Saccharomyces cerevisiae S288C: one gene and its partners. The gene in region 1 interacts genetically with each later gene. Each region holds a gene or a part of one and is shown in the gene's direction. Other genes may lie near its edges. The genes, in order: SLX1, COQ10, SMT1 and ULP1.

The links.
Region 2: mutations in SLX1 (region 1) and COQ10 together harm fitness more than expected from each alone (negative genetic interaction), as found in Saccharomyces cerevisiae (2 studies listed by BioGRID).
Region 3: mutations in SLX1 (region 1) and SMT1 together harm fitness more than expected from each alone (negative genetic interaction), as found in Saccharomyces cerevisiae (2 studies listed by BioGRID).
Region 4: mutations in SLX1 (region 1) and ULP1 together harm fitness more than expected from each alone (negative genetic interaction), as found in Saccharomyces cerevisiae (2 studies listed by BioGRID).

Annotation. Positions count from the first base shown.
Region 1 is NC_001134.8:668,656-676,727, forward strand, and holds SLX1 (endonuclease), read left to right. Parts: upstream 1-6,657; coding exon 6,658-7,572; downstream 7,573-8,072. Other genes in the region: TDP1 (tyrosyl-DNA phosphodiesterase 1), read right to left, coding at 8-1,642; YBR225W (uncharacterized protein), read left to right, coding at 1,972-4,674; MCX1 (Mcx1p), read right to left, coding at 4,917-6,479; glucan 1,3-alpha-glucosidase ROT2, read right to left, coding at 7,702-8,072. UniProt on the Saccharomyces cerevisiae protein: Catalytic subunit of the SLX1-SLX4 structure-specific endonuclease that resolves DNA secondary structures generated during DNA repair and recombination.
Region 2 is NC_001147.6:306,024-312,081, forward strand, and holds COQ10 (ubiquinone-binding protein COQ10), read left to right. Parts: upstream 1-4,288; coding exon 4,289-4,912; downstream 4,913-6,058. Other genes in the region: PLB3 (lysophospholipase), read left to right, coding at 1-1,386; RCL1 (rRNA-processing endoribonuclease), read left to right, coding at 1,915-3,018; ERMES complex subunit MDM12, read right to left, coding at 3,301-4,116; CSI2 (Csi2p), read right to left, coding at 5,319-6,058. UniProt on the Saccharomyces cerevisiae protein: Required for the function of coenzyme Q in the respiratory chain. May serve as a chaperone or may be involved in the transport of Q6 from its site of synthesis to the catalytic sites of the respiratory complexes.
Region 3 is NC_001142.9:138,977-147,570, reverse strand, and holds SMT1 (Smt1p), read left to right. Parts: upstream 1-5,003; coding exon 5,004-6,152; downstream 6,153-8,594. Other genes in the region: protein transporter TIM17, read right to left, coding at 1-470; ROQ1 (Roq1p), read right to left, coding at 898-1,212; SFH5 (Sfh5p), read right to left, coding at 1,527-2,411; IDS2 (Ids2p), read right to left, coding at 2,870-4,279; DNA-directed RNA polymerase I subunit RPA34, read right to left, coding at 6,433-7,134; SCF ubiquitin ligase complex subunit DAS1, read right to left, coding at 8,201-8,594. UniProt on the Saccharomyces cerevisiae protein: Component of MIOREX complexes, large expressome-like assemblies of ribosomes with factors involved in all the steps of post-transcriptional gene expression.
Region 4 is NC_001148.4:510,624-519,554, reverse strand, and holds ULP1 (SUMO protease ULP1), read left to right. Parts: upstream 1-5,376; coding exon 5,377-7,242; downstream 7,243-8,931. Other genes in the region: IRC15 (Irc15p), read left to right, coding at 1-821; CTF19 (Ctf19p), read right to left, coding at 795-1,904; VTC3 (vacuolar transporter chaperone), read left to right, coding at 2,537-5,044; ECM23 (Ecm23p), read right to left, coding at 7,891-8,454. UniProt on the Saccharomyces cerevisiae protein: Protease that catalyzes two essential functions in the SUMO pathway: processing of full-length SMT3 to its mature form and deconjugation of SMT3 from targeted proteins. Has an essential role in the G2/M phase of the cell cycle.

The DNA of each region.
Region 1 (8,072 bases):
TTACTTGTTAGTCGTTCTCATGACGAGCAAGGCAAAAGCACTCGTCCTCAGCTAAGTCGTATGGTATGACTGGCAGCGTGAATGGCACGGCCACATGGGTGGGATTACCCGCGCAGCCTCTACGGTCACGTGTAAAAGTACGGCACGTGACCTTCCTGGTATTTGCTAACCTGCGACTATGGTAAAGCACTCCTGCTTCATAATTGCGTGGTTTTCTTGAAACGGTGCCCCATGCTGTTTGGCTGAGGTTTGCCGAAGTATAAAGGCACCATTCTAGTTCTTTAAATACCTGCGATGCATCACAGGGCCCTGCGGAGTTTGTTGCACAATGCATGTAAAACTTAGAGTGCGCGGGCGTCGTCCCTCGTCTTCTAGTAACCATAGCAGGGTCTTGCTTGTAAAATACTTTGAACTTGTTTCGCAGCATTTCGTAGTAGCTCTTTTTCTGAAGATATTGAAAATGAAACCACCCGGAACTGGACCACTTTAAGGGACTGGTGACAAACTCTTGTTCGGTGGGGAAAATAATGTACGGCTTGATTTTTCTCTGCGAATATTCATTAATCAATGAATTCGTTGGCAGTATTTCTGCTTTCTTCCTCCCAGCGGTGTCCTTTGCTGGAGGGGACATGATTCCGGTAAACAGAGGAATCATTAGATGTGTCCATAAGTTTTCGTCTCGCGCTCTTGATAGAGATGTCCCTATGGATGAAGTTTGACATAGATAATGTTTTGCAGTATCACTAGCACTTGTGCCAGCAGAAAGTTTTTCTAGTTTATTGTAAAACGACAGTAAACCCGACGACTGAAATTTGGAGGGCGTAGAATATACAAATTCTAATTCGCTCAAAGGAGCAAAGTTAACTTCCTCTACGCTTTTTGTAATCAATTCGTCAATGTCTTTCAGGTGGTACGAATTGAGGTATTCTATCAAGCTTCTCTTAAACGGTACTGGTAGCCCTTCTTTACCTATTTTCAAAAGGGGACTGCACCAACACACCTGTTGAGGCAGGTTAGTCTCCATTGACGTAAAATTGTTAGATGGCAAGAATATTTTGCATTCGCCATTATCGTAAAAGTTTATGATCAGCTTCGTATGGTGGGAAGCGAATGGGGGCATCGTTATTTCAATAAGTTTGACCTTTTTTAATATTACTGCCAGTGTCGCGTCCATAGCACGGGCTTCGATAGGCATAATAGTACCCTTTTGGCCGACGATGGTTATGTTCTCTACGTTCTGGTGGAATTGTCTCAACAAGAAATCAAGTTCGTATTGGAAACTGAAGAGTATGCTTCTTTTTAGTGTCTCAGTGCCAAAGATATCTTTCAATGTAATCATATCCTCTACTTCTCCCATAAAATCCTCTCTTTCATAGAAGTCCGATTTCATTAGTTTAAAAACGGCACCTTTTGCCGTATCGTTTGTTTCTATTCTCTCACTCAAATCTTGTTCCTGATTAGTCAAATCAATGATTTTCGATTCACTGACTATGACGCAGTCGTCGCTATCATTGTTACTGTTGACCGGAGCCATATTCTCCATTTCAGCACTATACCTGACGCTCTTCCACCGTTGTGCTACTTTCTCGGCAACATCCGACCTCTTCCTCTTAGTTCCATTGAAATTTGTTTCTCGTGACATTAATGATCGGTTGAAAACACATTATCATCATTCTTGTCTGGGCTCACCGTTTCTCTGCATTATTTTCCTCTTTATAAGCCCTTTATTAAATTACCATTTTCGCAGTTTAGTGCGGCCGCCGAAAATACATCAGAAGGGATCCATACCAACACTTACCAAGAACGCTGAAACACGTTGTTCACATCACCTGAAACAAGCAGCAGCTACTGGAGAAGTGTGTAAAGTAGTAGTAATTATTAAAGGACACATATTGAAGGATTGTTCAATTTTCTTTTTTATTATTTTTCCCCTCATTTATCCACTTTTTATAAACTGCTCAAGTAAATACAATGGGCTCCAATAAGGAAGCAAAAAACATTGATAGTAAGAATGATAGGGGGTTAACCAGTATAACCAGTAACAAAATTTCCAACTTAAAAGCACATGATAACCATACAAGTTCAATGATTACTGAACATAAAAATGCTGACAAAGAAAAGGGGAAACAAGAAAAAGAGAGTAGAAATGGAACCACGCAATCAAGTAGTTCAGTAGAATCACACTCACCACAAGTAAGCCATCATTCAGATAAGCTCTCGTCCTTTGATTCGCCCTTACATTTGCCAAACTTTAGACTGGCGGATGACTTGTTCTCAAACTCGTCAAGACGATCATCTGACTCCGCTGCCTCATCCTCAGTATCCAAACTGAAGTCCGCTCAGCTTTCCAAAATAGGTCTACATCATCATCATACAAGTAATAATAAACATAGTCATAGAAGCGGAACTCCGACTTCCGAAGTGAAAGCTAATTACTCACCAGACCCTTCTGCACCGCGATTCATTGTATCCAATATGGTCGGCAATGGCCGGGGAGGTGGTGGTCTACACGGTGCAACTTCGAACGTTGTCAAGAAACTCCATTCTAGAAAAAAATGGGACTGGAACACTTTACCGGCATCAGATTCTTCTCTTCTAATCAAAACCGTTTCAGGAAATCATAATTTAATCAACATTTGCATAGACGGTGAATTCAAACAAATAATGTACGACCCGAATCATAATGAGCTCTTTAATAGAATGGACTTGTTTCTATCTTTTAACATGGACTCCTCGCCAGAAGACTCTTTAATATTTGCCAAGAAAAGATTACGGTCGTACATTGATTTCCTAACAAAATATTTGGAATCTAGGAAATATGCATTTGAATGTTATCCATTTAACATTGAAAACATCATAAATATAGAGACTGAGGTTAAATGCTTTCCATCGTTTGACCCGTTAAAAGATTATTCTGAAATTGAATCCTTGATTCAATTATGGTTGGCTCAATCTCAAAAATTTTTACTGCAATCAAATTCATTCTTCTTTTCATCTGAAGTAGTGGAGGAACTAATAAAAAGAAAACCAACCACAAGACAACATTCTAATCCAACAATCAGCACCACCAGCAACAAGATCAGTGACCCTACATTATATATTCAGCAGTTAGATATAGAAGCAAACTCTCCAAGGCCAGTAATATCGGATCCATTAGACGAAATTGACATCTTATTAATAAGACCGCTGCATAAAACCCTGGGCGGTTGGCAGCTGGCGTATGATGAACCAAGCTTGAACATCGCAGATTTCGCATTAGATTTATCTCCCTGGATGATTGACAGCAGTGACAATGACGCTCAGAATAAGAATGCTAGTGAAATTGCTCCTGAGTATTTAACAAACTTACAAAATTATTTGCCACGAAAGGGTTCAAGAGCGAAAATAGTTTCTGACGAACAAGAAGTTATCGAATTGAATTCTTCCAATGCTTCAGAGTATATGTATGATTGCATGAATAGAAAGTTCTTTACAGATGATGCAAAAGAACGTATTTCTAGAAACAACTTCAATCAGGGAGTTGAGGAAGACCCTCTAAACGACCAATTCGCTTCAAGTAGATCTTTATCATTGCCGTCCTCGGGAGCAGATGCTGTCAAAAGGAAGAAGAGCCCTACCAAGGCTACTAAAAAATCTGGTTTCGTCAACTTTTTCAAGAGAAAGCATTCTCAACTTGCATCAACTTCACATACTACAAGCCCTTCAGTTTCACCTAGCATATCTTCTTCTTCTTCTCCAAAAATTCAACCACAGTCACATATCTCTAGTCCCCCTCGGACAGAGAAAGCTCCCCATGTCAAATCAGCCAACCAAGCACATCAAAATGAATGGTTGGAGAATTTTTTTTGCCGGACTTTGAACAACTACAAAGAAATCGATTTACCGACCCAATTTATTTTGCCAAAGGAAGTGAAGAGGTCCTCTAATGCACAACTTCAGCCTGAAGATGAACCACCTTTGTCATCACCAATATCCTCTAATTCGGATAACTCCTTTCCAAATGAAGGACTTGACAGGGCAAAAAGCGCAGCTATTTATGGTAAAGAATATTTAAAATTAAGACTGCCGTTTGCATCAGACACTATACCTGCTGTAATATGCCCGTGGGTCTGGACAAGTTTAAGTTATTATAAATGGAAAGCTCTACTTAGGGAAATATACAGATCAATAATTCCTGGCGGGTACGCGCTGGCAATTGTTCCAGATTTAAGGATTTCAAACACATACTATACTGGAATTCTTGGCAACGCCGATGCCGAAAAAGCAAATAATTCATCAGAAGAGTTTTTGACTACAAAAGAACGGGACAAGACATTTGATGCTATGGCTATTGATGCGATAAATAAAGGCTTACATATCCATCCTACAAAACACTTAACGAGGACATTCAAGGATGTAGGGTTTACAGGCATCAAGTCCTCGGTCCTAAGTTTGAAAACTGGTGACTTCAAAACAGATATGGGCTTTTTGAATGAATTTAATTCTTTAGATATGTGGGACTACATGTTAAGGAGGCAACTACCAGATAGTAGTTGTCCTCCAAAGGATACCGACCCCACCACTCTTTTCAAAAGATATGTGGAAGAACACATAGGAAAAATCGATGACAACGCTGGCTGCTTTAGAACTTTGTATGTGGTGGCGCAAAAGCCAAAGCTGCCATATACCAAATAATTGTGCCGCCGTTCCAATTTTTTTTTAAATTGTTCAAGAATTACTTCAATTTTTACTACTGGACAAAAAGCATTATGATAAGGAGTAGTCTCCCAGTATCGTAGAACCAATTTGAAACACTTTAGCCAATATTTATTAATTTTTTTTACTTCCCATGGCATAGTACTTTGTAGGAAGATTATTTGTTCATTTACTACATTTATTACATCTATATTTATATATTCTATACCATTCATTTTTTTTTATGTTAAGCTTCTCTTGGGAATTGTTGGGGTATGAATGTTAGCAGAATGACCCAACTCTTTTTCTAGCATAACTCCTAATTTTTTATCTTCTTCAGAAACGTCACGAATTAAACTGTCCTTTTCATCACCAGAATAGTATTTTACGTCCACTTGGGAAGCCAAAGAGTGCTCTGTTTCCTGTAACGAGTCGACAGTAGCTTCGTCGATTAAAACGTATGCTATGTTAGAACCCGGGCAATCATAATTAACGTTTAGCAGAAGTCTTTCCATTATCCCTCTCAACCCTCTGGCGCCAGTTCCTTCCTTGAGAGCAAATTGAGCAACTTTCTTTAGCGCCTTTTGTGTAACACACAATCTTACCCCAAATTGCTTAAAAATATATTCATATTGATCCAATAAGGCATTTTTAGGTTCTTTTAATATATGAAATAAATCGTCTCTTTGTAGAGGCTGCAGAGCAGTTATAATTGGGACTCTGCCAATTAATTCAGGAATTAGACCAAAGCTAACTAAATCTGTGGGGGTGGTCAAGTCTAAAGCACACACTTTTTTTCCGTTATCTAATTCAACCTGCTCAAGCGTATTGCTAAATCTGAACTTCTTCGCTCTTTCTTTTTCAACTTCTTTACTATTCGATGATTCAACAGACTCTCCTGCCTTCTGTATTTTCTTCATATCTTCTATCCTTTTAACAATATGCTTATCTAAACCAACAAAAGCTCCCATAATCATGAAAAGAATATTTGAAGTGTCTACAACAAATACTTCGTCCTTCTTTGTTGTAGTTTGATTTTTTTGTCCGTCAATATCATGCTTAACAGGCCTTTTAACGGTAATTTCCACTTTATGGCCCTCAATGATTTTCAATAATGACTGTTGAACCCCTTCTCCGGACACGTCTTTAGTGCCAATGCTTGCGGCAGGCTTGGCTAGTTTATCAATCTCATCAAGAACAATAATACCTTTTTCTGCTCTCGCAACATCAAATTCAGCATTTACGAGCAATCTTTCAATGCATACTTCAACATCTTCACCTATGTAACCTGCTTGAGTCAATTGTGTACAATCTGTAATTGCAATTGGAACGTTTAATATTTTCGCCAATGTTGTTGCCAACAAAGTCTTACCAGAACCTGAGGGACCAACGACAAGGACATTACTTTTGCTTAACTCTAAATCTTCGTCAACCTCTCTACCTGCTAAATTAAACTGTCTTTGAAGATTCCTCCAACCAGCCTTTGATTCGCTGTTTCCACTGAAAATTGGTTCATCCCTATCATCCGCGATTTTCTCTCGTTCCATCAATTCTCTCTGCCTTTGTAATTCCCCTTTCTTTTGCTTGTCATTGATTCTTAAATAGTGATTATAAACTGCCACGCTTAAAACCTTCTTACCAATCTCTTGACCAACAATGTACTCATCGAGGAATTTCTTCAATGCTTTTGGAGTGGGTATATTCGATAAACGAGACTGTGCCAGTTTCCCTGATGCTGTAGCAGCATATCGACCAATTCTACTAGAATAAGCTCTAAAAAAGTTTTGGCTTGCAGATTTCAACATGAGTGTGAAATGTAATTAGAGTGCCTTGTCTTCTATGGTTTTGTTTGATGAGCCGTTTGCTTTTCTTTTTAATTTTAATATATACCACTGATGACTTATTCCCTTCTATCATCGAAAAAATATTGTCAAATTAATGTTCTCTTTTTTCAAAAAATATTAAAAAGATAAGAAAGGTACCATGTCGCAGAAAATACAGCAGCATCAGTTTCCTGATTTTTATTGTTGTTATCTACTACAATCGATTAACAAGAGGCAATCATTTTACGTTGGATCAACTCCTAACCCAGTACGACGTTTGAGGCAGCATAATGGGAAATTGGCTGTTGGAGGGGCATATCGAACCAAACGTGACGGTTCAAGGCCCTGGGAAATGATAATGATTGTGCGGGGCTTCCCAAGTAAGATAGCAGCTTTACAGTTTGAACATGCATGGCAACATGGGTACCAAACGCATTATATTGCCGAAAAAGATCGTGTTGTAAAGCATAAAGCAGGTGGAAGAACTTTACATCACAAAGTTGCATTAATGAAGTTACTTTTAAAGCATGAATTTTTTCAAAGGATGAACTTGATAGTCGAGGTTTTTAATATAAAGGCTTGGGAGGTTTGGAAACAGGACAAATTTTTTATTGAAAGAGACAGATTTCCGATTAATATACAAATAAATGAAAATGCGCTTGAAGAACCAAAGGAGAAAACTGTGGATGTTCTCATGGATCATAGTGATGAGAATTTAAAAGTGGTGGAAGCTGTATACACTAAAGTCATTGAAAATGAAAGAAACATATTCGAAACTTTCGAAAAGAAACTAACTACAGGGGTAGTGCGATGTGAAATTTGTGAGAAAGAAATTGACTACACGTCTGAAGAGCAAAATCTGAAGCCGTTTGTAGCGCTTTGCAATAATAAAGACTGTGGGTGTGTTAACCACTTGAAATGTCTTCACAGGTACTTTCTAGATGATGAACAGTTGATGGTAGGGAGAAGAAATTTGATACCTCGAGGTGGGAAATGTCCGAAATGTGATATGTTTTGCGACTGGACGACCCTAGTCAAGTTTTCGACAAGAATGAAGTTAGCTCACGGGAAGTAGGGCCTGACACAATTTTCGGTTCTTTTTTTTCTATAGATAATGGTTATATGTTATATTTACGGATATTTTTACGTTTACTTTGTAAGAAAGAGCTAAAAAGATGTAAAGATATCACTTCGTTTTTTTCCCTCAAAAAATAACTTCCCAATCTTCAGTTATGTCAAGCGATAGGTTAAGAATGGTGATCTTATTATCATTCTCATATGACGATCTAGTCGGCAATGAACTTTCTTCGCCATTTTTTTTGACTTTAATACTGTCTTTCAACGTTATGTTGTGTTGTAAATTATTCTTTGCGATAATGATTTTTTCAATATTGGTATTCCTCAAAGTATTGTGGTGAATGCCTGTCAAATTCTCGGGAATATGACTTCGAACATTTTTTAAGGTATTGTTTTCGAAAATGAACTGAGTTTCTACGTACTCACCTCTTTGGTAGCCAAAAGTTTCTCCATCATCAACATAAAGATCTCCAACGGCTCGTCCCTCGGTATCAGGGG
Region 2 (6,058 bases), on another chromosome or scaffold:
GATATTTGGGGCAGAGCCTTGGCGTATAATTTTTTCCCTTCTCTAAATAGAGGGGGTATAGGCCTGACTTGGTCTTCCATTAGGGATTTCCCAGTGTTTCAAAATGCTGAAATGCCTTTTCCAATTTCTGTTGCGGACGGTAGGTATCCTGGAACAAAAGTCATCAATTTGAACGCAACGGTTTTTGAATTTAATCCCTTTGAAATGGGATCCTGGGATCCCTCTTTGAACTCTTTTGCCAACGTTAAGTACCTTGGAACGAATGTCTCCAATGGTGTACCATTGGAAAGGGGAAAATGTACCGCAGGCTTTGATAATGCAGGTTTTATCATGGGTACTTCCTCCACCTTATTTAACCAGTTTCTTTTGAGAATAAACTCCACTCACTTACCTAGTTTCATCACAAGATTAGCAAGACATTTTCTAAAGGATTTATCTCAAGATTTTAATGATATCGCTGTTTACAGTCCTAATCCATTTAAAGACACGAAGTTTTTGGATAGTGACTATACGACAAGTATTGTTGATTCAGACAGCCTATTCTTAGTTGACGGCGGTGAAGACGACGAAAATGTTCCTGTGTTACCGCTTATACAAAAGGAACGTGATGTGGACATTATTTTTGCGGTAGATAATTCTGCCGATATGAGATTGGCTTGGCCTGACGGTTCTTCTTTAGTCCATACCTATGAGCGTCAATTCGTTAAGCAAGGTCAAGGTATGTCCTTCCCATATGTTCCAGATACGAATACATTCGTTAATTTGGGTTTGAACAAGAAACCAACCTTCTTCGGTTGCGATGCTAATAATTTGACCGATCTTCAATATATTCCACCTCTAGTTGTTTATCTGCCAAATGCAGAATACTCTTTCAATAGTAATCAGAGCGCGTTCAAGCTATCATATTCCGAATCCCAAAGAAGAAGTATGATTCAAAACGGGTTTGAAATTGCAACTAGGAACAACTTCACTGATGATCCTGAATTCATGGGCTGCGTCGGCTGCGCCATCATTAGACGTAAGCAACAAGCTTTGAATATTACTTTGCCTCCGGAATGTGAAACCTGTTTTAAAAATTATTGCTGGAATGGTACCCTGGATACTACCCCATTACCAGATGTTGAAAAGGATGTTCACCACTCCTTTATCAACGTCAATAGCTTCAACAGCTCCATAGGACAAGAAGAAAGTCTTTACGCCGGATCTTCAGCTTCCCAGTCATCGTCTTCATCATCGTCTTCATCTTCGTCTTCGGAAATTCCTTCGGCTACTGCAACCCTTGAGAAAAAGGCAGCTACTAATTCTGGATCACATTTATCTGGCATAAGTGTAAAGTTCTCTGCTATGATTATGCTTACTTTATTGATGTTTACCGGAGCAGTATAATATCTCTTGCGTAATAACGGTATACAAAATGAGGCAATAAAAATCAAAGAACTACACTATAAAATAACGAAACATAAAGCTGAAAGACTAGCAAAATCACTAAAAAACTAAAATAAAAAAAGAAAATGAGCATTTCCCCTTTGCATTGAAGTATCATCCCTTTCGGGCAAGACCATGTTTAAGGAACTTCACTAATGACATCGGAGGTCTATATATAGCAGACCTCTTCTTTAAAAGATATAACTTTATAATTATAACCCCGCGCAAAGCGTATTAATACTTTAAATGGGTAGTCAAGTTGCTTTTATTACTTGCACTTACTTTGAAGGAGGATGTCAGAATTACCCTCGCCATATTGGTAATGTAATTTTTCACGGACTCGAGATTGAAAAAATTTCAGAAAAATTTGCAAAAAAGTGCCGATGAGATGAGCCTTCATAAGCTACGTATGTTGTAAGGGTATAACATCTGTCAAGCTTCACCATTGTCAACACTTTTCCACTAGGATAATCCTCCAAAAGTATAGCAATGTCATCTTCCGCCCCCAAATACACCACTTTCCAAGGGTCACAAAATTTTAGGTTACGGATCGTCTTGGCAACATTATCAGGGAAACCAATAAAAATTGAAAAAATCCGTTCAGGCGACTTAAATCCCGGTCTGAAAGATTATGAAGTGTCTTTTCTAAGGCTGATCGAGTCGGTCACCAACGGGAGTGTAATTGAAATTTCTTATACCGGTACTACTGTGATTTATAGGCCCGGTATCATAGTTGGTGGTGCATCAACTCATATCTGCCCTAGTTCCAAACCGGTAGGTTATTTCGTCGAACCAATGCTATATTTGGCTCCATTTTCAAAAAAGAAATTTTCTATATTATTCAAAGGCATAACTGCATCTCACAACGATGCCGGTATTGAAGCTATCAAATGGGGACTCATGCCCGTTATGGAAAAATTTGGCGTTAGAGAGTGCGCCCTACATACTTTGAAAAGAGGTTCACCACCACTAGGAGGTGGCGAAGTGCATTTGGTTGTTGATTCTTTGATTGCGCAACCTATAACTATGCATGAAATAGATAGGCCCATAATTTCATCGATTACCGGTGTAGCATACTCTACCAGAGTAAGTCCGTCGCTTGTGAATAGAATGATCGATGGTGCTAAGAAGGTATTGAAAAATCTGCAATGCGAAGTTAACATAACGGCAGATGTCTGGAGAGGTGAAAATTCAGGGAAGAGTCCAGGCTGGGGTATTACTTTGGTTGCTCAGTCCAAGCAGAAAGGTTGGAGTTATTTTGCAGAAGATATCGGTGATGCAGGTTCTATACCTGAAGAACTTGGTGAAAAAGTTGCCTGTCAATTATTAGAAGAAATATCAAAGAGTGCAGCAGTTGGTAGAAACCAGCTTCCATTAGCAATTGTTTACATGGTCATCGGGAAAGAAGATATCGGCAGATTGAGAATTAATAAGGAACAGATAGACGAAAGATTCATAATCCTCTTGAGAGATATTAAGAAGATCTTTAATACTGAAGTCTTTTTAAAACCAGTTGACGAGGCGGATAATGAAGACATGATAGCTACTATCAAGGGTATTGGTTTCACAAACACAAGCAAAAAGATTGCATAGCATGTTCTAATATTATTCAATAGATATTAGACCACTGTATATAAGTTATATATATATATATGATTATTTAGGTGTAACTTCACGGACAACTGTCTAGAGTATAAGATTACTGGAGGATCATTGATGATTTCCTTTAACTCTTTTGGGTCATCTAAAATATCATCAAAGAGCGTATGCGAAAAGCGCGTTAAGAATAGATTACTTCATGACAAAATATAATTTTCCAGCTCAAAAATGTTTGTTTTTTTATGTAGACACTATTTTCAAACTATCTTTGTTAAATTACTCATCACCATCGTTGAAATCCAGATTAATCCAACTTGGCCATGCTAACTCCTTTCTTAAAAAATCTTTGAATATCGTAAACAAAAACTGTTCTAGTTCTCCAACACTTCTTAATACTGAGCCCTGTCCCTGATATTGTTCCCCTATTTCGGTTTCAATCTTCATACTTCTCACAATGGATATTCGCTCCAATGGCTTAGTAGCTGCCAGAATTGGCCCCTTAGGATCTAAAACAGTTTGGTTGTCATCCAGTGCAGGATCACTAACATCACACAGAAAGCTAAGAAATAGTTGCTTTGATAAACATGCAACAATGCAAAGGGAATGGAGACCGATATCACTGATAGAAAGTTTTACTGGCAAAGTCATAAATTTTTCTACGGGATAATTCAGCACAAGGTCGGCACCAATCGTAACGAGTAAGTCACCCTTGTACTCGACCTCTAGTAAAAATTGTATATCGTTGGGGGATGGCATCACCACAGGCGCCTCAAAATCATCTTTAGGTCCTTCATGATTAGCTATAGTACGATCAGGACAAATATGTTCGCTGTCCTCCTTGTTGTCATTATTTTCCTCCGTCTCTTGATCAGCCTCCTCTCTAATTGAATCATAAAACTCATCTAGGGGATCTGTTATTTCTTTCAGTGTTATAGCAGGACCAACTTTTCCCAGATCAAAATCTAGTACCCTAAGATTACTTACGTAGCTTGGTAGTTGCGTATTTTGTAAATATGAATTTAAATGTTTTCTTATAAGATCATTCAGTCTATTGTCAGATTCCAATGTACTCCAATTAATATCAAAAGACATTTGGATTAGTTGAAGCCAGCTTATGATCTGTTTCAACCGTTACATAGGATGGCATGCTTTTTCTCATGTTAGAGAAAAATTTAAAGATCGAGTTGTCTGAAAAACCTGAACTATTTAAAACGAATAATAGGATAAGGAGCCAAACAATAAACGGCTAAAGATACCGTGGAGAATGGTTTTGATAATAAGGCCCTCACAGACATTGATATTATTCAGGAAAGCGATGCTCAAGCCAATTGGGAGATATCCTCTTAAAAGAAATTTTTTTGGTTTGAGCGGTACCAATCACACTATTAGGGAACAGCGATATGTTTTGCGCAAGGCCATAAACGCCCCTCCAAGCACAGTCTACGCTGCAGTGTCAGAAGTTGCCCAATATAAGGAATTTATTCCTTATTGTGTTGATTCGTTTGTAGATAAACGAAATCCTGTGGATAACAAGCCTCTCATTGCGGGGCTTCGAGTTGGTTTCAAACAATACGATGAGGAATTTATATGCAATGTTACCTGTAAAGATACTGATCATACGTATACCGTTGTTGCAGAAACAATATCTCATAATTTGTTTCACCTTTTGATTTCGAAATGGACCATAATGCCTCACCCAAATAGACCAAATGCGGCCATGGTAGAACTTCTATTAAGATTTAAATTCAAATCTCGGATATATAACAGTGTCTCTCTAATATTTGCGAAAACTGTGACTGAATTGGTGATGAACGCATTTGCCAAAAGAGCATACCATTTAGTAAGATTAGCAATGCTAAAACCTTCTTCTAAAGAAGGCTCTCCGTGATATCTTCCGTATAATTTCAGATAACAAAGATCATGCCATCCAGGATAAGCGTATGCATGGTTAAATTTTTAGACTATAGAACAAGATTTTTCTGTATAGTTATGTTTATAGTATTTAAGCTTTCTAACAAGCTCCAGTAGGGGCGGAGGATACAAACAAATATATTTTGCTGCAAAATTTCCTGGTCTTCCGTCGCAATCAACAAGTTGATACGCAGATGCACCATTTTATTCATTGGCAAAGTACGATCAGTTTAGTGCTTGTATCTGTATGCGAAAAAAGAATGGTGTACTAAAAACAGCGCATGGTGATGGCGAGGAATTTACACGTATCCTCTCATTAATTGAAGTATTAGGTTTTCGAGTCGCACTTAGTGTAAATGAGGTGTAGAAAGGTGGGGACGCAATTATTCCTTACCGTCGAGCAGTTGATCCAGATGAACACTGGGAGGACGGTACTTCTTTACTTTACCCTGACTAACATTTGATTTTGGAGTAGAGCGGTCTTCAGAGTCGGGACTTAAATTGTATGATGTATAATTGAATGGATTAGTGCTGTCTGTAAACTTTCCCAGTATTTGGGTAGCACCAGGTTCCCTTGGAGTACTGGACAAGGAATCATATATAGCACTCTCATTGCTTTGAGACCATGTATTAGAGTTGTTGGCATCAGATTGCAGAATTTCGGTGGGTGAAATAAACATAGATGATCTGAAGTTATCGTTGGCATCTGTTTTATTGTTCAAAAGATTCAAAACAGAAGTGGATCCTAGAGTATACAAACTCATACGAGATGAGTTATTTTTCAGAACTTTTTCTGATATGTCACTGTCGTCAGAATGGGAAGATGTTTCACTTTCGTCGTCATTAATGTTTGTTTGGAAGTAGAAAGGATCGTGTTGGTATTGATTTTCTAGATTTCTCAGCTTATTTTCCTTTCTAGCACTTCGCCATGACTTTATATTCAATGCAATCCATGCACCCGTCAGTGATAGTAGAATTGCACCTAAACAGCCAGCAAATGCAATGAACACAGTACCGTTAGGATGATGAGCCTGATATAAGAATTTATTTCCGTCCGTAACCGGGATATAAACGCTGGAAGGTGTAATAGATGAAGTTGATATTACACTGTTGTTGCTCCATA
Region 3 (8,594 bases), on another chromosome or scaffold:
TGCAGAGGTTGAGAGGAAGGTGCTTCGGGCAAAGGAGGAGCCATAGGTTTGGCTTGCCAAGCAGCATATCTTTGAAACATTAGTCCCACACCTTCAATCACACCCAACAAACAAGCACACGTGATCGAACTGTTCCTTGTATGCCTCCAACCACCTCTTACAGCTAAAGCGCCACCAGTGAAAAACCCTGCAATGATAGCATTCCATGGGTCCTCTCTCTTTCTAACGGCCTTCACAGCGCAATCAAAAGTCGAAAATAAACCACCCCACACACCAAAATTACCACCCAGTACGGGAGCACGCGCTTTAATGGCGCTCATAGCTCCTGAACCACGCTCACCTAATGGCGAATTTCTAAAACCTTTAATCCCATGCCAAACAACACCACCAATGGCACCCATGGCAAAAGCACCACCGAAATCATTTAGTATGACTATAGGACATGGATCTCTCGAATGATCGGCTGACATAACGCTCCCGTGTACTCTATTTTTCTTAACGCTTTCTTCTGAACTTGACTCTTTCACAGCTTTTCCATCTTTTGATGAGAATAGTGCTTTTATCCTCTGGATTTGGCATAAAAATGGAAACTTTGGCGCAAGAATGCCGGGTTACCCACTTTGTTGAACAATAGCAGTAAAAAAGGCGTCCGATGAATGTTCGTTGTATACACCCGAAGATTTCTGTATTCAATGATATATATACATATCTATATGAATATACTATACACTTTATGCACAGAAATTAATGATTTGATAAAGTCCCGCTATCCTTCCGTGGCGCCACTGACAGTGGCATGTTATGAAATGCATATAATCGTTACAACCCCGAACCCGTGCGTGGGCTATTCAGTATAACCCGAATGGTATTGTTAGATATGCTTTATAATGCTGGAGTTCATGAACAACGGCGAGAGTGAACGTCTCCACCCAGACTGCTGCCGTGGCCGTATCGACTGCCGTTTTCATCGTCACCATGATTATTGTTGTTGTTATTATTACTGCTTGTGTTTTCCTGTATGCCTAAATTAGTCAGCTCTACAAAGTAGTATATCACGCCAGGCTGTGTAGGCTGGTTATTGATCCCGAAATCGCCCATGGGAGACTCCTCTACCAAGGAATCCACTCTAGTCTGGTCCCGCTGGCTCCTGAGTATACTACTGTTGCTTTTTTTGTGTGTCCTGTATATTGTTGAAGTTTCCCTCCTTAACATCTTCTTCTTGTTATCTTATCTCTTGTTTTTGCTGACTTTTTTCCCTTGTAAATACCTTTATCTGCGATCTTGTTCACCTTCGGTGCGTTGTCTTTTATATAGGCGGATCTGATCGATCTGTATCCCTATTATTGCCATTACCTTCTAGAAACATTTTCGCAGCCCCTTCGTTTCGTACGGTGTTTTCTGAGCCATATAAGTGAAGATACGTGAGAGATAATACAGTTAGATGGTGATTTACCTGAATATAAGGCAAAAATAAGAAATTATTATAGGGTTTATATAAGAGACTATTATTAGATCATGCCAACAAATCACTCAACGTCCTCGATGATTTGTTTTTGTAAAATGTAAAGGCCGTATTCTGTTGGATGGACATTTGTGACATTTTGCTTGGTCAGATTGTTCTTCTTATCTTTCCCGCCATACCCTTCATATGGGCAATCCTTCAAGTATTGACCCAACTTGCTGCCGTCGGTTAATACCACGAACTTCTTTCTGGTGGTTTCGTCAACGAACTTTTTGATTAAATCGTAAACCCAGCCGAAAACGGTGGGGACATTAACAAAATACTTTGCATATAACAGTTCTGGATAGTATTTTTGAAAGATTCCAATGACCGTCTTGCTACAGTTTTTAATGTCAGAATCCATTCGCCACACGGAGACGCCTTTATAATCGTGGACTTGGGTCATATAGTTGTTGTCGGAGCTGGTGAAATCTAATAAGCTCAAACCCTTTTCCATGAGCCCGATTCTGTAGCGTACAAACTTATCCACATTTTGAAACAATTCTTTTTTTTTGACCAGTTGGCCGTATAAGTTCCAAGTGACAGCCTTTTTATTTGCGTCGCCGTTTGCATCGAATGTCAAAATACCAACGTTTTGCAATTCTGTATTATGGACTTCCTTGTAGGCACAACTCAATGGGTTGAATTCCCTCCTCCAATTCAAAATATCGATCAGGTTCTGTACAATGGTGCTATATTCAAATTGATAGGCTTTGCAAAGTTTGTAGGTTAGACGATCGGCGATTTTTTCGTCATAGTATTTATCAACCTCCTCTTGTGTAAGACCTTCAGGATTCAACTTGTAACCATACAATTCATCGTATCCTGCACATTTTTCCTTGATAATACCAGGAATCGCTTTTTTAAGCTTATCGAAAACCTGCTTCTCACTGTCATTGTCGAATTTCATTTTAAGGATGTTAATTTAGTGAATTAATTACGATTGGGATTCTAAGTAGGAAAAAAAAAAGAGGTACAATTGCAATGTACAGCTCGTTTTTCTTGGTGCGATCACTAATTAGTAAAGCGATGGACATAGTTTTTTTTTTTCATTCCGCCCAATTCTAGCCACACCCGAGAATGTAGAAGTGCTAAAATAACCTTGAACTTTCAGATATAGTGATGATAAAGGAAACCAAAAAAAAAGGAATTAAAAAGAAGGATAATGACTATGTGGTAGTATACAAAAGGAAGTGATTACAAATACGGTGTACCGGCATGTTTCAGCAAAAAAAAATATAATTTTTTGTTATTATAACTGCATTTTAATGAAACACATTATAAGTATGATGGGATTAACTATGAAGAGGGTACCGGACCGCCTTTAATGAATATTGAAGAATTGCGGAAAAGCAGTACTATTCTTATTTAGTTTGCTTGGTTCAAAAAGTCTCGCCAAAGATCTAGCCACTTGTTCATAATAGATTCTCGATGTTGACCGGCAGCAATGTAGTTTTGTCTTTCCCAAGGTTTCAGGATTTTAAATTCGATTATCTTATAATTCAATCTATTCGCTGGCACGCTAGCTATGGGAACAGCACAGTATCCAACGCTATCTATATAACTCCATTTATCGCCAAACAATGCTTTCATAATCTGTAAATCGTTCATTTGATGAAACATCGACCTTTTACTTTCACCTTCAAAATCGTTCCCGTAAATAGTAAAGTATTCCTTAATGCACATTGCTACTGCCCTGTTCGGCTTCAGTATAATAATTTGAGGATCGTCATCATAATTTTCAGCGGAAGATTGGTCTTGGTTCACGCTAACGAGATCTTCATTTATATAATTTACCTTATTCGATAACAATACACAAGTTTCGTTATCAATCTCGTCAGATACTTCAGTGCTCTCTAGAAGCTCATCAATATTTTGCAGTACCAGGCATGTAGGGGATAAATAGCAAATCAATTCGAATCGATCAATTAACGAAAAAAAAAGAAATAGCTTGCACCACTTAAAATTCAATTCGCCCTTGGTTTCGGTCGATTGCGAACTTGCGCTAAATCCCGAGCCAGTGCCGAAATTCATGAATAAATTGATATATTCATCTATTATCAGCGTCTTGATTCCTACCTGGGCCAATTGAAAGGCGTTGACTTCACTGGAATGCAATACCCAGAGATTATACTGAGAATTGACATTCTTCAATGACTCGGCCAATACGATGACAGCCTGTAAAGATTCTGCCGATGAATCGTGCAGTATTGTTATCCAAGCCCTGCTCTGATTAAGAAAATCCCCAGGAGAGTTGGTTGGTTCATTGGAAGATGCGCCGGAAAACGAACTTCTTGGGTTCAGTAAATGTCTTATCCACTGAACGTCCTGTATAGAACTACGCCTTGTAGTTAAAGGTGGAACATCCACCGATGGTTGCCTTATTGGTGATGCCCTTTCGCTTGGTTCCGGAGATCCTAGAGTCAAATCGTTAAGGATATCTGAAACAGACTCTCTCGTCTCCTGTCCCAAAGAATAATGATGTTTGAACAGCTGATAATCCTGCTGCTGTTGATCAGATTTTTCGCGTGTTTGAGAAGATCCATAAAGCCTTTGCTGCTGCTGTGTCGACCCTCTCGCAAGTGATGAAAGATTCATTGCATTTCCTTCCATCATCGTTGCTGGTTCAGGGGAGTACCTATCAGTGGGAGTACCTATGGGAGAATTATTAAAATTTAACAGTAATGGATTATCTTGTGACTCGGACCATGACTTTCTCACAGCAGCGGCCAGATCACCGGTGATATCTTCAGATATACTTTCCTGCTGATTATCCATTTTTATTATCAATCGTTTTTTCTTTCTTGCCCTTTTGATAAATAAATAAAATATATTTGAAAAAGATTGATATCAAGAATCCAGATATCTTTGCGTGGTAAAGCGGTGATTCGTGTTGCAATTTCCACCTCTTTTCTTCTCTGCCAATTTTGAACTCGACTGCACAATTCGATTGCTTCAATCATGCTTGTGTTTCTGTCCTGCAGCGCATGGGGAAATTTCCGAAGCAAAGATGGGAACAGTCAAGAGCAAGAGCAACAGCAAAAGTAATAAAAGACAGTAAAAAGCACAATATACTGCTATCGGCCGTACATAGTAAGTTAGATTAGTGAAAGAGAGGCAGCAAAAACTGCTGATAAGTTTTTGCACCGAAATGTGCCGCTAACTGCTTCTTGTTTTGCTGCAAGTTGAGAACCCGTAGTGTCATAGCATATAAATAATCTTGTAAACGTATACTTACATAAAGACATGAGTAGAGAGCGTAATGACACCAACATTTTTCCCCTCAATGAAAGTGTCGAAAATGATGGTCCGATATCAACAGTCATACAATAATGTGACAGCGGTTTTCTGTTTGTGCGAAAAGAAAACAGTAGAATATAAATTGCGTTTCAATATAGATTTACGAACCCTAAACAACAACACGCATAAGTAATTGTGCTGGCTAAAGGGAAATAGTGCGTGCGCTGCCTTTTGTCAATTTTATCTACAGGAATCATTGATTATGAGGAGGACTTTTTCTCAGTTAGCAACCCGACTATTGAAGTCGAAAGATGATGAGCTGAAATCAACTCTAAAATACTTGACCAAAGGTCCAGTGAAGTTGTTGGGGCCTTTGTTTGAATCTTCTGAAGTTAATGAACAAGGTTCCTTATTGAATCGTTCACGCACTAAAGAAAATAATCTTCAAAATCACCATATAGAGAACATCCTGAGAATACTGAATTCAAATCTACCGGAAGTAGAGTCCAAGAAACAAAAAGTAGCTGTTCATTACGATGTGCTTTTCTCACATTTGAACTCAATAGTTACCCAGGCAACGGATAACAAAAGTTCTTCTTCGAAGGAACTACAAGGTTCATCGTCCGAGGATCTATATGATAGGCTGCTGCTTTTGCAGTATGTGGGCAAGTTAACTAATGTGCGTCAAATAACAGAAATTTTGCTCTCAAAAAAGTTCAACAAATTCGATAAAGTATGGGAGCACAGAGCCTTGTTTGACGAATACCAAAGAGTAGTGATATCCATCCTGTTGTATTATAGAACGCACGATGTGCAAATAAGAAAAGACTACGAGCCTCGTTGGTTGTCCGATTACAGTGATCTACCGTTTCCTCTGCGACGTCTTTTGTGGAGATGTCTAACTTCTAACGTATCTGAAGATAATATTCGTCAAAATATAATTCATTACATTAAGCTTTTAGGCGCAAATTGGAGGAATAACGATTTGATTTTAATTTATCAATCTTTGTATGAAAAGTCACATATATTGCCTGATTTAACGGTCCTGAACCACAATAAAGATGATGGTTTCTCTTTCACCCAAAATCAAATCCTGCTTGTTCGTATTTTAAGGGCTATTTCGAAATGCGTTGAAGAGGAACCAAAATTGGTCAAAAAATGGTTAATTGATATCGTAAAATTGAGTATACAAAGCAAAATAATGCTGGAGTCACCGAAGAAACCGTCCACACCAATAATGGACCAATACAAATTTATTAGATCCTTAGATATTTCTATACGGAGTATCCATCGGACGTGCCAGGATAAACTAATCTTTGAAGATTTACAGGTCAACCTTGGAAGTGTATTAAAGATGATTAATGAAGAAGAACACGAGTTAAAAACACACTTACCATTGAACCTCATATAAGAGAGAACACAGAAAAAGCAGGTTAATAATATTCATATGGCGACTCTAAATCAAGAAAAAAATAATCGTTTGTGTTACACCCGAAATATTGAAATTTCTAATCGTATACACAAATTTAAGTATGCAAAACTAAATAGTAATATTGCCCACACAAAACATTCATCAGTTTCCACCAGCAGAAATGCCTTTTTATATATGTAAATGCGAAAAAAAATCACTGACACACACACAAATGCACATTTTTATCTTATGTTACACACAGTTATACGCACATACGCATTCAATCTCTATGTTTCTTTTTCTTATCCTTTTTATCCTTCTTCTCCCTCTTCTCCCTCTTCTCCTTCTTCTTTTTCTTCTTTTCACTAGACTCCTCTTCATCGTCGTGATGTGAACGCTTCTTTGGTTCTTTCTTATTTTCTTTAACTTCCTCAGCCACATGGAAATCTTCGGCATCATAACCAGTAGCAAAATGCTCCAACTTCAAGCCTTCTACTTTTGGAACATCTTTACGTGGAACTCTTACCTTACTGTAATCAATAGCTGGGATTTTAGCGGTTTCGCTGACAGAAAATACCTTGTCAAACTGTAATGGTGCATTATCCTTGGCAGTGCTAGCAATTTTAAGACTTTCCTTACTTTCCGAAGGAACCAATAAAGTCATATTACTGAGGTTATCCTGTGTTAACGAGGACTCAATATCTGTATCGTCCATGATTTTATAATCGTGTTTATCAATTGTCATGGTTGTAGAGGATTCAAAATCTACAGGCAGAGATTTTAACTTGGAGATGTCCACATTTGATGGGAATTTGATCAGCCAAACCTGTTGCTGTTTCGCTTTTTTTTTGTTATCACCGTTGAGAGGGAAATTCTTTAAATGTTTACATTTCTTGAAACCATCTGGTATGCTGAACTCGTTTGATATCACTTCATCATCAGAGTCTGAATCTGATACGTAATCTTTCGAAAGCTTGGACATATCAATTTTTTGTTAATCCCGTTTATTGAATCCTAGCTGCTCACTGCTCACTCGATCACAGACCTATATGATACCGAATACCCTATAACTTGAGCTATTCAATGCTCATCGATAAAATTTTTCATTTCTTTAATTTCATGTTTGAGAAAAAAAGTTTCGCAACACCCAATAACCACACGCTGCCCTAAGAAAAAACTTTCTCAGGCTGAAAAGAAAATTTTTTTTCATTTTCTAGAGCTTTATGGGCAGAAACAAAATGTATAAATACTGGACAACCTTCTGTAAGGTTATAATAATCTCGACATTCGGTTAATAAGAATTCCCCTACATAAGAACAAACAGCAGTGACTGTAATGTAGTAAGAATGAGAGTAATCCTCCTCTTTCGACTTCAGCATTGCACTCCTTCCCATTTGATACATTCAAGTTTGAATAATCTCAAGAGAAATTTCATGACACTTTTTTAAACAGAAAAGAAGAATTGATTGGCCCTGATGATAATGGTGTCTCTTCTTTCCTCGTCCGATTCGACCATGACGACAAGGGATTTTATCTCGTTCTCTTAATGCGAATGATTTTGAAAAGATGTTGCTTCTGTGACATTTTTTTTTAATCATTTGTGTTTGCAAACGGGAACTTTTCTTGCCAGTGTTATACAACACATGCAGATCTGAGCCTTTATTTTTTCTCATGAGATTATCAAATGTGGGTAATTTGAGGAGACAGATAATATATATAATTTATGATCACGGTGATGAAAGACTGGTTCCTTAACATTCGCAGTTTCCACGGTAGGAGTACGCTTACGAACCCATCGTTAGTACTCTCGGTGACCGCTCTTCTTTAGAGACCTTCCTAGGATGTCTGAGTGATCGTATACTGTAGTATCTTGTGTTTACTTTATCAAACCAGCTTACCAACATTGGAATAGTTGGTTGATTTTTTTCTAGCATCCGAATGGATCTTGTATTTCCTTAATATGAAGTAGACCAGTAATCTGAATCCTGCTAGCTTAAAAAATGCGTTGAATATATATTATTAAATATATATATTTGAAGGGGAGTTGATTACATAACAGTGGCTATTCTTGCAATGGTATCAGAATTATTATTGTTGTTGTTGCTGTCGTTCTCCAGATTCTTGTTCGATTCCTTTGACCATCCATACAGATTACTCTTATAATCATAATGATAAAAGACGGGTTCAAAAATACGTTCATTATTCTCCTCCATAACTATTGTGGGAATGTCATTCAACATCAAGAATCTCAAATGAGGAAAACTTTTCAAAAAAGTAACGTAAATCGACTTGAAGTGATGGATAAGAGCGTGATAACACATAATAATATCTCTTTTGGTCAATGATTCATGAGGAAGTTCCAGGTCAGTGGAAATTGTAGCTGCTGTGTCATCACTACTTGGAGGAATGGCCGCATTAATTTCATCATCATCATCATCGTCA
Region 4 (8,931 bases), on another chromosome or scaffold:
AAAATATGGACAATGAGTTGGCTTCTGCCACGAAGACCCTCTTGCAGTGTCAGGGTATAGCTTTTCTTTTAGACACTAGAGTGCAGCTCGCGGAAGCCGATGCTGCCGGTCAGCTGAACATCACCTTGCTTAACAAGGTGTCAAAGAAAACATATGTACATCATTGCGACGTCTTGATGGTTTCTATTGGTAGACGTCCCCTGCTAAAAGGTTTAGATATTTCCAGCATTGGTCTAGACGAACGGGATTTTGTAGAAAATGTTGACGTACAAACCCAAAGTCTGCTAAAGTACCCTCATATTAAACCCATAGGAGACGTTACATTGGGCCCCATGCTGGCGCTGAAAGCGGAAGAACAAGCTATAAGGGCCATTCAATCAATAGGCTGTACAGGCTCCGACGGAACCTCGAATTGTGGCTTCCCACCAAATGTGCTGTACTGTCAGCCTCAGATTGGCTGGGTCGGATACACTGAGGAGGGGTTGGCAAAGGCTCGCATCCCATATCAAAAAGGCAGGGTTTTGTTCTCACAGAACGTTAGATATAACACGTTATTACCACGGGAAGAGAATACTACAGTTTCTCCTTTCATTAAAGTTCTGATAGATTCTCGTGACATGAAAATACTAGGCGTTCATATGATAAACGACGATGCAAATGAATTGCTGTCGCAAGCATCGATGGCGGTGTCGCTTGGCCTTACCGCCCATGATGTCTGTAAAGTACCGTTCCCTCATCCGAGCTTATCGGAATCGTTTAAGCAAGCCGTCCAGTTGGCAATGGCAAATGGAACATCACCTGGCGTACATGTCCGGGAATAGGCAAACGTTGCAGATCTCCTTTAACCCGGTTTTCACACCATATTCCTTGATAAGTCCGTAGCATATCTCGTCCAAATCTATCTGGTTAAATCTTTCTCCCCCCTTCCATAGCGCTATTGAAATTTTACTCATGGGCAGAAAACAGTTACGAGGTTTGCCTCTCTCACCGGGCATTGTAATGATGAAATTTATCTGCAATTTTATCGTCGTGAGTCTTCCTTCTCTAATAACTCTTTCCACAATTAATGAGTCACTATTATTCATTAGATAACACCTGGTTTTCCTTTTCAATAAATTAATCAAATTTTGGAAAATTCCAGTTTTTTTGGACTTGATCTTATCAAACTCATAAAGGCTTAATAGACACTTCTGGAAGTTACGTGTTGCCAGTAATTGCTTGGCCTTCAGTCTAACGTTTGTGGAAATTCGCAAGATTTCCCACTTCAGCAGTGTGGAATCTTCAAATTTATAGAACATTTTGAACTGAATTTCAAAAGGATTCATCGTGTTTCTGCAGAATTTATAATTGACCACCAAAACTTCAATCCCATCGTTATGTACTCTGTCTCTTGATTGCACAGAAACTTGAAGATGCGGGTATGTGTGGTCTCTCAAATAACTTAGCCGTAGATTCATATTTAACAAAGGTAACGTGTCGTATTTTGTTACTAGTTCCTTCTGCAAGTTAGTTAGCCCATTGATCCTCTCGACCCGCTTGCGGTCACTTATCGCCGAATTAGGATTAGAGGATGAGATCGAGATTAGATTAAGAAAATCCTGTGTGATATCGTTTTGGAGGATATCACCATTTTTAGTCTTACTGTTATTTTCCTTCATCAAGATATTTTGGTACGTCTGGATCTCTTGTAAAAGAGTATTTCTCCTTGTCAACAGCGCATCCTTCTCCTCCTGTAGCTTCAGTGCGCGTACCTGATCATCATCTAATAGCGATAGTTGTTGCTTCTCGTCCCCATCAATGTTTACATCTGCTTCACCAGCATGATGTGTACCCACAGCGTCTTCCAGACTTAAATGCGAATTCGATGTGTCGTGCGAATTCGTCGTATCAGACGTAAAATCCATATTTGCGTTCTTTGCCGACCTAGTATCAACAAGATCACACTAGCTCCAAGGTATATAGCTGTTTATATAAGTCTAAATTACGCGTTTCTGATTTTTCGGCGGACTCCAACTATTAGATAGTCACCATTACCGGTTACATTACCGGCCACATAGTAGAACGCCAGAGTATATATGCCGTGACCTTCACGGTTTGGATGTTAATGAGTAACTTGCACAGCTATTGGTATTTGGACTTCTTGGCACATTTTTCCCTGTACAGCTTTTCTTTTTTTCAATGTGCGAGGGCCCACGTGGCTTAATACAACACAGTGCAGTCGCAAGCACGTGCATGCGATTTTGAAAGCACAAGGCAGAAACGTGGAAACATACACACACGCACACACCCAACTTTCGAGTGGGTTTCATCCAGGAAGAACTTTTAAATAGAGGCCAGAGAGCGGCTTACATCAGACATCTTTTCTCGAACTTACTTCATCTTCTCAATATCGAGAGGGCCCATTGGCGGGTAATAATACGCATAAGAGTGATCTAATCCAAGTAGTACCTCCTTAGCGCTTTTTTTATTATCACTATAGGTCATTTGGCTATTAGAGCGAACAGCAGAATTTGTCCTTGGTTTTCAGAGTTTGAAAATGCTATTTGGTATTAAACTGGCTAACGACGTATATCCTCCCTGGAAGGATTCATATATCGACTATGAAAGGTTGAAGAAATTACTAAAGGAAAGCGTCATACATGATGGCCGTAGTTCCGTGGATAGTTGGTCCGAAAGGAATGAATCTGATTTTGTGGAGGCCTTGGATAAAGAACTAGAAAAGGTTTACACATTTCAAATTTCCAAATATAATGCTGTCTTGCGAAAATTAGATGATTTAGAGGAAAACACTAAATCAGCTGAAAAAATCCAAAAAATAAATTCTGAGCAGTTCAAAAACACCTTAGAAGAATGTCTAGATGAGGCTCAAAGATTGGATAACTTTGACAGGTTAAATTTTACTGGGTTTATCAAGATTGTGAAGAAACACGATAAATTACATCCAAACTATCCTTCTGTAAAGTCTCTTTTACAAGTCAGATTGAAAGAACTTCCTTTCAACAATTCAGAAGAGTATTCTCCCTTGTTGTATAGGATCTCATATCTGTACGAGTTCTTGAGATCAAATTATGATCATCCAAATACGGTGTCTAAATCATTAGCAAGTACTTCTAAATTATCACATTTTTCTAACCTTGAAGACGCAAGTTTTAAAAGCTACAAGTTTTGGGTTCATGATGATAATATAATGGAGGTTAAGGCTAGAATCTTAAGGCATCTACCTGCTTTGGTTTATGCGTCGGTTCCAAATGAAAATGACGATTTCGTCGATAATCTAGAATCAGATGTCCGCGTACAACCTGAAGCGCGCTTGAATATTGGTTCAAAGAGTAACAGCCTTTCTAGTGATGGTAATAGCAACCAAGATGTTGAAATTGGAAAATCAAAGAGCGTTATTTTCCCACAGTCATATGATCCAACAATCACTACATTATATTTCGACAACGATTTTTTTGATTTGTACAATAACAGATTGTTGAAAATCAGCGGTGCACCTACGCTGAGATTAAGATGGATCGGTAAACTGCTAGACAAACCTGACATATTTTTGGAAAAGAGAACTTTTACAGAAAATACCGAAACTGGTAATTCAAGTTTTGAAGAAATCAGATTGCAAATGAAAGCCAAATTCATCAACAATTTTATTTTTAAAAATGATCCCAGTTACAAAAACTATTTAATTAATCAACTAAGAGAAAGGGGTACTCAAAAGGAGGAACTGGAAAAACTTTCTAGAGACTTTGATAACATCCAAAACTTTATTGTTGAGGAGAAGTTGCAGCCAGTTTTGAGAGCTACCTATAATAGAACTGCTTTCCAAATTCCTGGAGATCAAAGTATTAGAGTCACTATCGATTCCAATATCATGTACATTAGAGAGGATTCTTTGGACAAAAATAGGCCCATTAGGAACCCTGAGAATTGGCACCGTGACGATATTGATTCCAATATTCCCAACCCATTGAGGTTTTTAAGAGCAGGAGAATATTCGAAGTTCCCCTATTCTGTAATGGAGATTAAGGTTATAAACCAAGATAATTCTCAAATGCCTAATTATGAGTGGATTAAAGATTTAACTAATTCACATTTAGTTAACGAAGTTCCAAAATTTTCTTTGTACTTGCAAGGTGTGGCTTCACTGTTTGGTGAAGACGATAAATATGTCAACATTTTGCCATTCTGGTTGCCCGATTTAGAAACCGACATCAGAAAGAACCCTCAGGAGGCTTACGAAGAAGAGAAGAAAACTTTACAAAAACAAAAGAGCATTCATGATAAACTTGATAATATGAGAAGGTTATCCAAAATCTCTGTACCAGATGGAAAGACCACTGAAAGACAAGGGCAAAAAGATCAGAATACTCGCCACGTTATTGCAGATTTAGAAGATCACGAATCATCAGATGAAGAAGGTACTGCATTGCCCAAGAAATCTGCAGTCAAAAAAGGGAAGAAATTCAAAACGAATGCAGCTTTCTTGAAAATTCTTGCTGGAAAAAATATTTCAGAAAATGGAAATGATCCATACTCCGACGATACAGACAGTGCCTCTTCTTTCCAATTACCTCCGGGAGTTAAAAAACCAGTTCACCTTTTGAAAAATGCCGGTCCTGTCAAAGTTGAGGCAAAAGTTTGGCTCGCCAATGAACGTACATTCAATAGATGGTTAAGTGTAACCACATTGCTGAGTGTATTGACCTTTTCTATCTATAATTCAGTGCAAAAAGCCGAATTTCCACAACTAGCTGATCTGTTGGCCTATGTATATTTCTTTTTGACTTTGTTTTGCGGAGTATGGGCTTATAGAACCTACTTAAAAAGATTAACTCTTATTAAAGGTAGAAGTGGTAAGCATTTGGATGCACCTGTGGGACCTATTTTGGTTGCAGTTGTATTAATCGTTACCTTGGTTGTTAACTTTAGTGTGGCTTTTAAAGAGGCCGCTAGGAGGGAAAGAGGATTAGTAAACGTTTCCTCCCAGCCTTCGTTACCCCGTACACTAAAACCAATTCAAGATTTTATCTTCAATTTGGTTGGGGAATAAGAACATGTATATTTTTTATATACACATATATTACACAAGTACCAGTTACTATCATAATTAATTAATTGTTCTCTATTTATACATATTTGCTCTTCCGTATTAAATCATATTAAACAGCTTTCAGCAGGTGCCGGCGCCGCCTCTTTTTATTTTCAAAATTCAAAATGCACATAATGAGAAGATGTGTGTGATAGTTAAACCCAGATCAAAAAATAGCTGAAACGTTCGTTTCAGCTCCGCAAATCTATATTGCTAATTAAAATTATTCATCAATATCTACTTCTGTTTCAGTTTTTTTCCTCTTCTTCCTCTGACCTTTGGATATCATAATAATGTCAGTTGAAGTAGATAAGCACCGGAACACACTACAGTATCATAAAAAGAACCCTTACTCCCCTTTATTCTCCCCAATTTCTACATATAGGTGTTATCCTCGGGTATTGAACAATCCCTCCGAGTCTAGAAGATCAGCCAGTTTTAGTGGTATTTATAAAAAAAGAACCAATACGTCAAGATTCAATTATTTAAACGACCGCCGTGTTTTATCAATGGAAGAATCAATGAAAGATGGGTCAGATAGAGCTAGTAAAGCTGGTTTTATAGGAGGCATAAGAGAAACTCTTTGGAACTCAGGTAAGTACTTATGGCACACATTTGTGAAAAACGAACCTCGCAATTTTGATGGTTCTGAAGTAGAAGCAAGTGGTAACAGCGACGTTGAGAGCAGAAGTTCTGGAAGTAGGAGCAGTGACGTACCATATGGTCTACGTGAAAATTATTCCTCGGATACAAGAAAACACAAATTCGATACGTCGACGTGGGCCTTACCAAATAAAAGGAGAAGAATCGAAAGTGAAGGTGTGGGGACACCTTCAACCTCACCAATCAGCTCTTTGGCTTCTCAAAAAAGCAATTGTGATAGTGACAATAGCATAACTTTTTCGAGAGATCCTTTTGGTTGGAATAAGTGGAAAACAAGTGCTATTGGTTCTAACTCAGAAAATAACACTTCTGATCAGAAAAATAGCTACGACAGGCGACAGTATGGGACAGCCTTTATTAGAAAGAAAAAAGTTGCAAAACAGAACATTAACAATACTAAACTGGTGTCGAGAGCACAATCTGAGGAAGTAACATATTTACGACAAATATTCAACGGAGAATATAAAGTTCCAAAAATATTAAAAGAAGAAAGAGAAAGACAGTTAAAATTAATGGATATGGATAAGGAAAAAGACACTGGCTTAAAAAAGTCTATAATCGACTTAACTGAAAAGATCAAAACAATTTTAATTGAGAACAACAAGAACAGACTACAGACAAGAAATGAAAATGATGATGATTTAGTATTTGTTAAAGAAAAAAAGATATCTTCTTTGGAAAGGAAACATAAGGATTACTTAAATCAAAAGTTGAAGTTTGATAGATCTATATTAGAGTTTGAGAAAGACTTCAAAAGATATAACGAAATTTTAAATGAAAGAAAGAAGATTCAAGAAGATCTTAAAAAAAAGAAAGAACAATTGGCCAAGAAGAAACTTGTTCCTGAATTAAATGAAAAAGACGATGACCAAGTACAAAAAGCTTTGGCATCTAGAGAAAATACTCAGTTAATGAATAGAGATAATATAGAGATAACAGTACGTGATTTTAAGACCTTGGCACCACGAAGATGGCTAAATGACACTATCATTGAGTTTTTTATGAAATACATTGAAAAATCTACCCCTAATACAGTGGCGTTTAATTCATTTTTCTATACCAATTTATCAGAAAGGGGTTATCAAGGCGTCCGGAGGTGGATGAAGAGAAAGAAGACACAAATTGATAAACTTGATAAAATCTTTACACCAATAAATTTGAACCAATCCCACTGGGCGTTGGGCATAATTGATTTAAAAAAGAAAACTATAGGTTACGTAGATTCATTATCGAATGGTCCAAATGCTATGAGTTTCGCTATACTGACTGACTTGCAAAAATATGTTATGGAGGAAAGTAAGCATACAATAGGAGAAGACTTTGATTTGATTCATTTAGATTGTCCGCAGCAACCAAATGGCTACGACTGTGGAATATATGTTTGTATGAATACTCTCTATGGAAGTGCAGATGCGCCATTGGATTTTGATTATAAAGATGCGATTAGGATGAGAAGATTTATTGCCCATTTGATTTTAACCGACGCTTTAAAATAGTTATTCTTTTATAATATACAATTATTATACATAAGTAGAAATATTCAGATCATTGGATATGGAATAAAGTTCAATAAACCACTTGAAAATAAATCATAAGAATAGCATAAGCACCAGCTCAATTTAGATGTCTGTACAAAAAGTAATATATTTTAGAGATGAGCAGGCAGAACCACACATTAGTGACGATTGTCTTCGACCTTATGTGGAATCTTAAGCTTTAACATATAAGTAAAAATTTTTATTTTCAACAAAAGATTAGAACGAAATGAAATTCCTTAATTGAACCTTCTCTTGGATATCAATCTATTGGCAATCATTCCTAGAGAATATATTATTGAGTGAAAACTGTAGATACGTGCTAAGCGGTAAAGCCCTTATGAACATCGTCACACTATCTCTATATTGAGCCTCCGTAAATTTCGAATCATTTGAAATTCATTTTTCCTGGTAGGAAGATACTTGATAGTGGAGGATAAGTAAAGTAAATTGTGGTTATCATTTATTTGGTGGTAAAGTACCTTTTTTATGTTTTTTTTGAAGATGGAAATTCAGGCATTTTAAAAAAATAGAAAGCTCGAAATATCTCAAAAAACATAAAAATAGAGGAAGAATCCGCTGAATATACCATCTTTACAAACTACTTAACTATTTATTTTTAAATATAAAATTTTTAGTACCATCATCGGAGGATTGTTGCGATCGTATTTTTTTCTCCATTTTTTTCCTATATGCTATGCCACATCGACTACATAGCTCAACATTTCCATTAGGTCCACTTCTCCACTGAGAAGTCCAGGTGTCACCACAAGTGGCGCACTCTTTTGGTTGACCGTTGGGGAGTATAGTTTGTTTCTTCCTACTTTTAGGTCTATATCCTGCTAAAGATTTCTTTCCATTGGATGATATTGGTAGTGATGAAAAAGATGGGGCTGGTAGAATAGAGGGGTTATGCAAAGGCCCACCAAGACGACTTTCTTCCTTCAATTTTGGACTCAGCGCACTATTTAAGCTTTTGATCTTCTGTTCAAGAATATCTGCTCTTTTTAAATCTGGCGTGACACCAGATTTCGGGATACTGGCTACTGAACAGCAATAATTGGGATTAGCGGCAATGAACAGAACCATTTGTACAAAACGATCGAAGTGGAATTTCGTTCTACGACCAGAGCTACTAGCGCCGCTTGTTCCCTGCTCTTTGTTATATAACATAATATGATTTAAAAGTTCTATCACTCAGCACTACAACGCAGTATTTTTATTCTAGATGACCAGTATAGCAAATATTGTTACCCTTGAGATATTGGTAATTTAACCAAATCTCAAGTCATAAATGCCTCCCTTTTAAGTTTACATAGGCAGTGGACAGATTGGTACATCATATTAAAGGAAATAATGAACGCTAAAAAGAATGCCTTTTACTGACACATTCACTTTTAATACGAAAACGGATTTTGTGGTATATGACGTTGAGCACTGCGTGGTTTTCTGTGAATCCGCCGTGCCTAAAATGGACCCTTAATTATTTAACAATAGACCGGCCCGAATAATGTTAACATGAAGGGAAAAGTGCACATAACTGCAAACTACTTTGGTAGGTTGATTATCAGAGCTAAGCCATCCTACAGGTAATGATTTCCAAATTTTTTCTTAAGTAAAAAAGTTCAGAAAATAGAAGAAATATAAAAT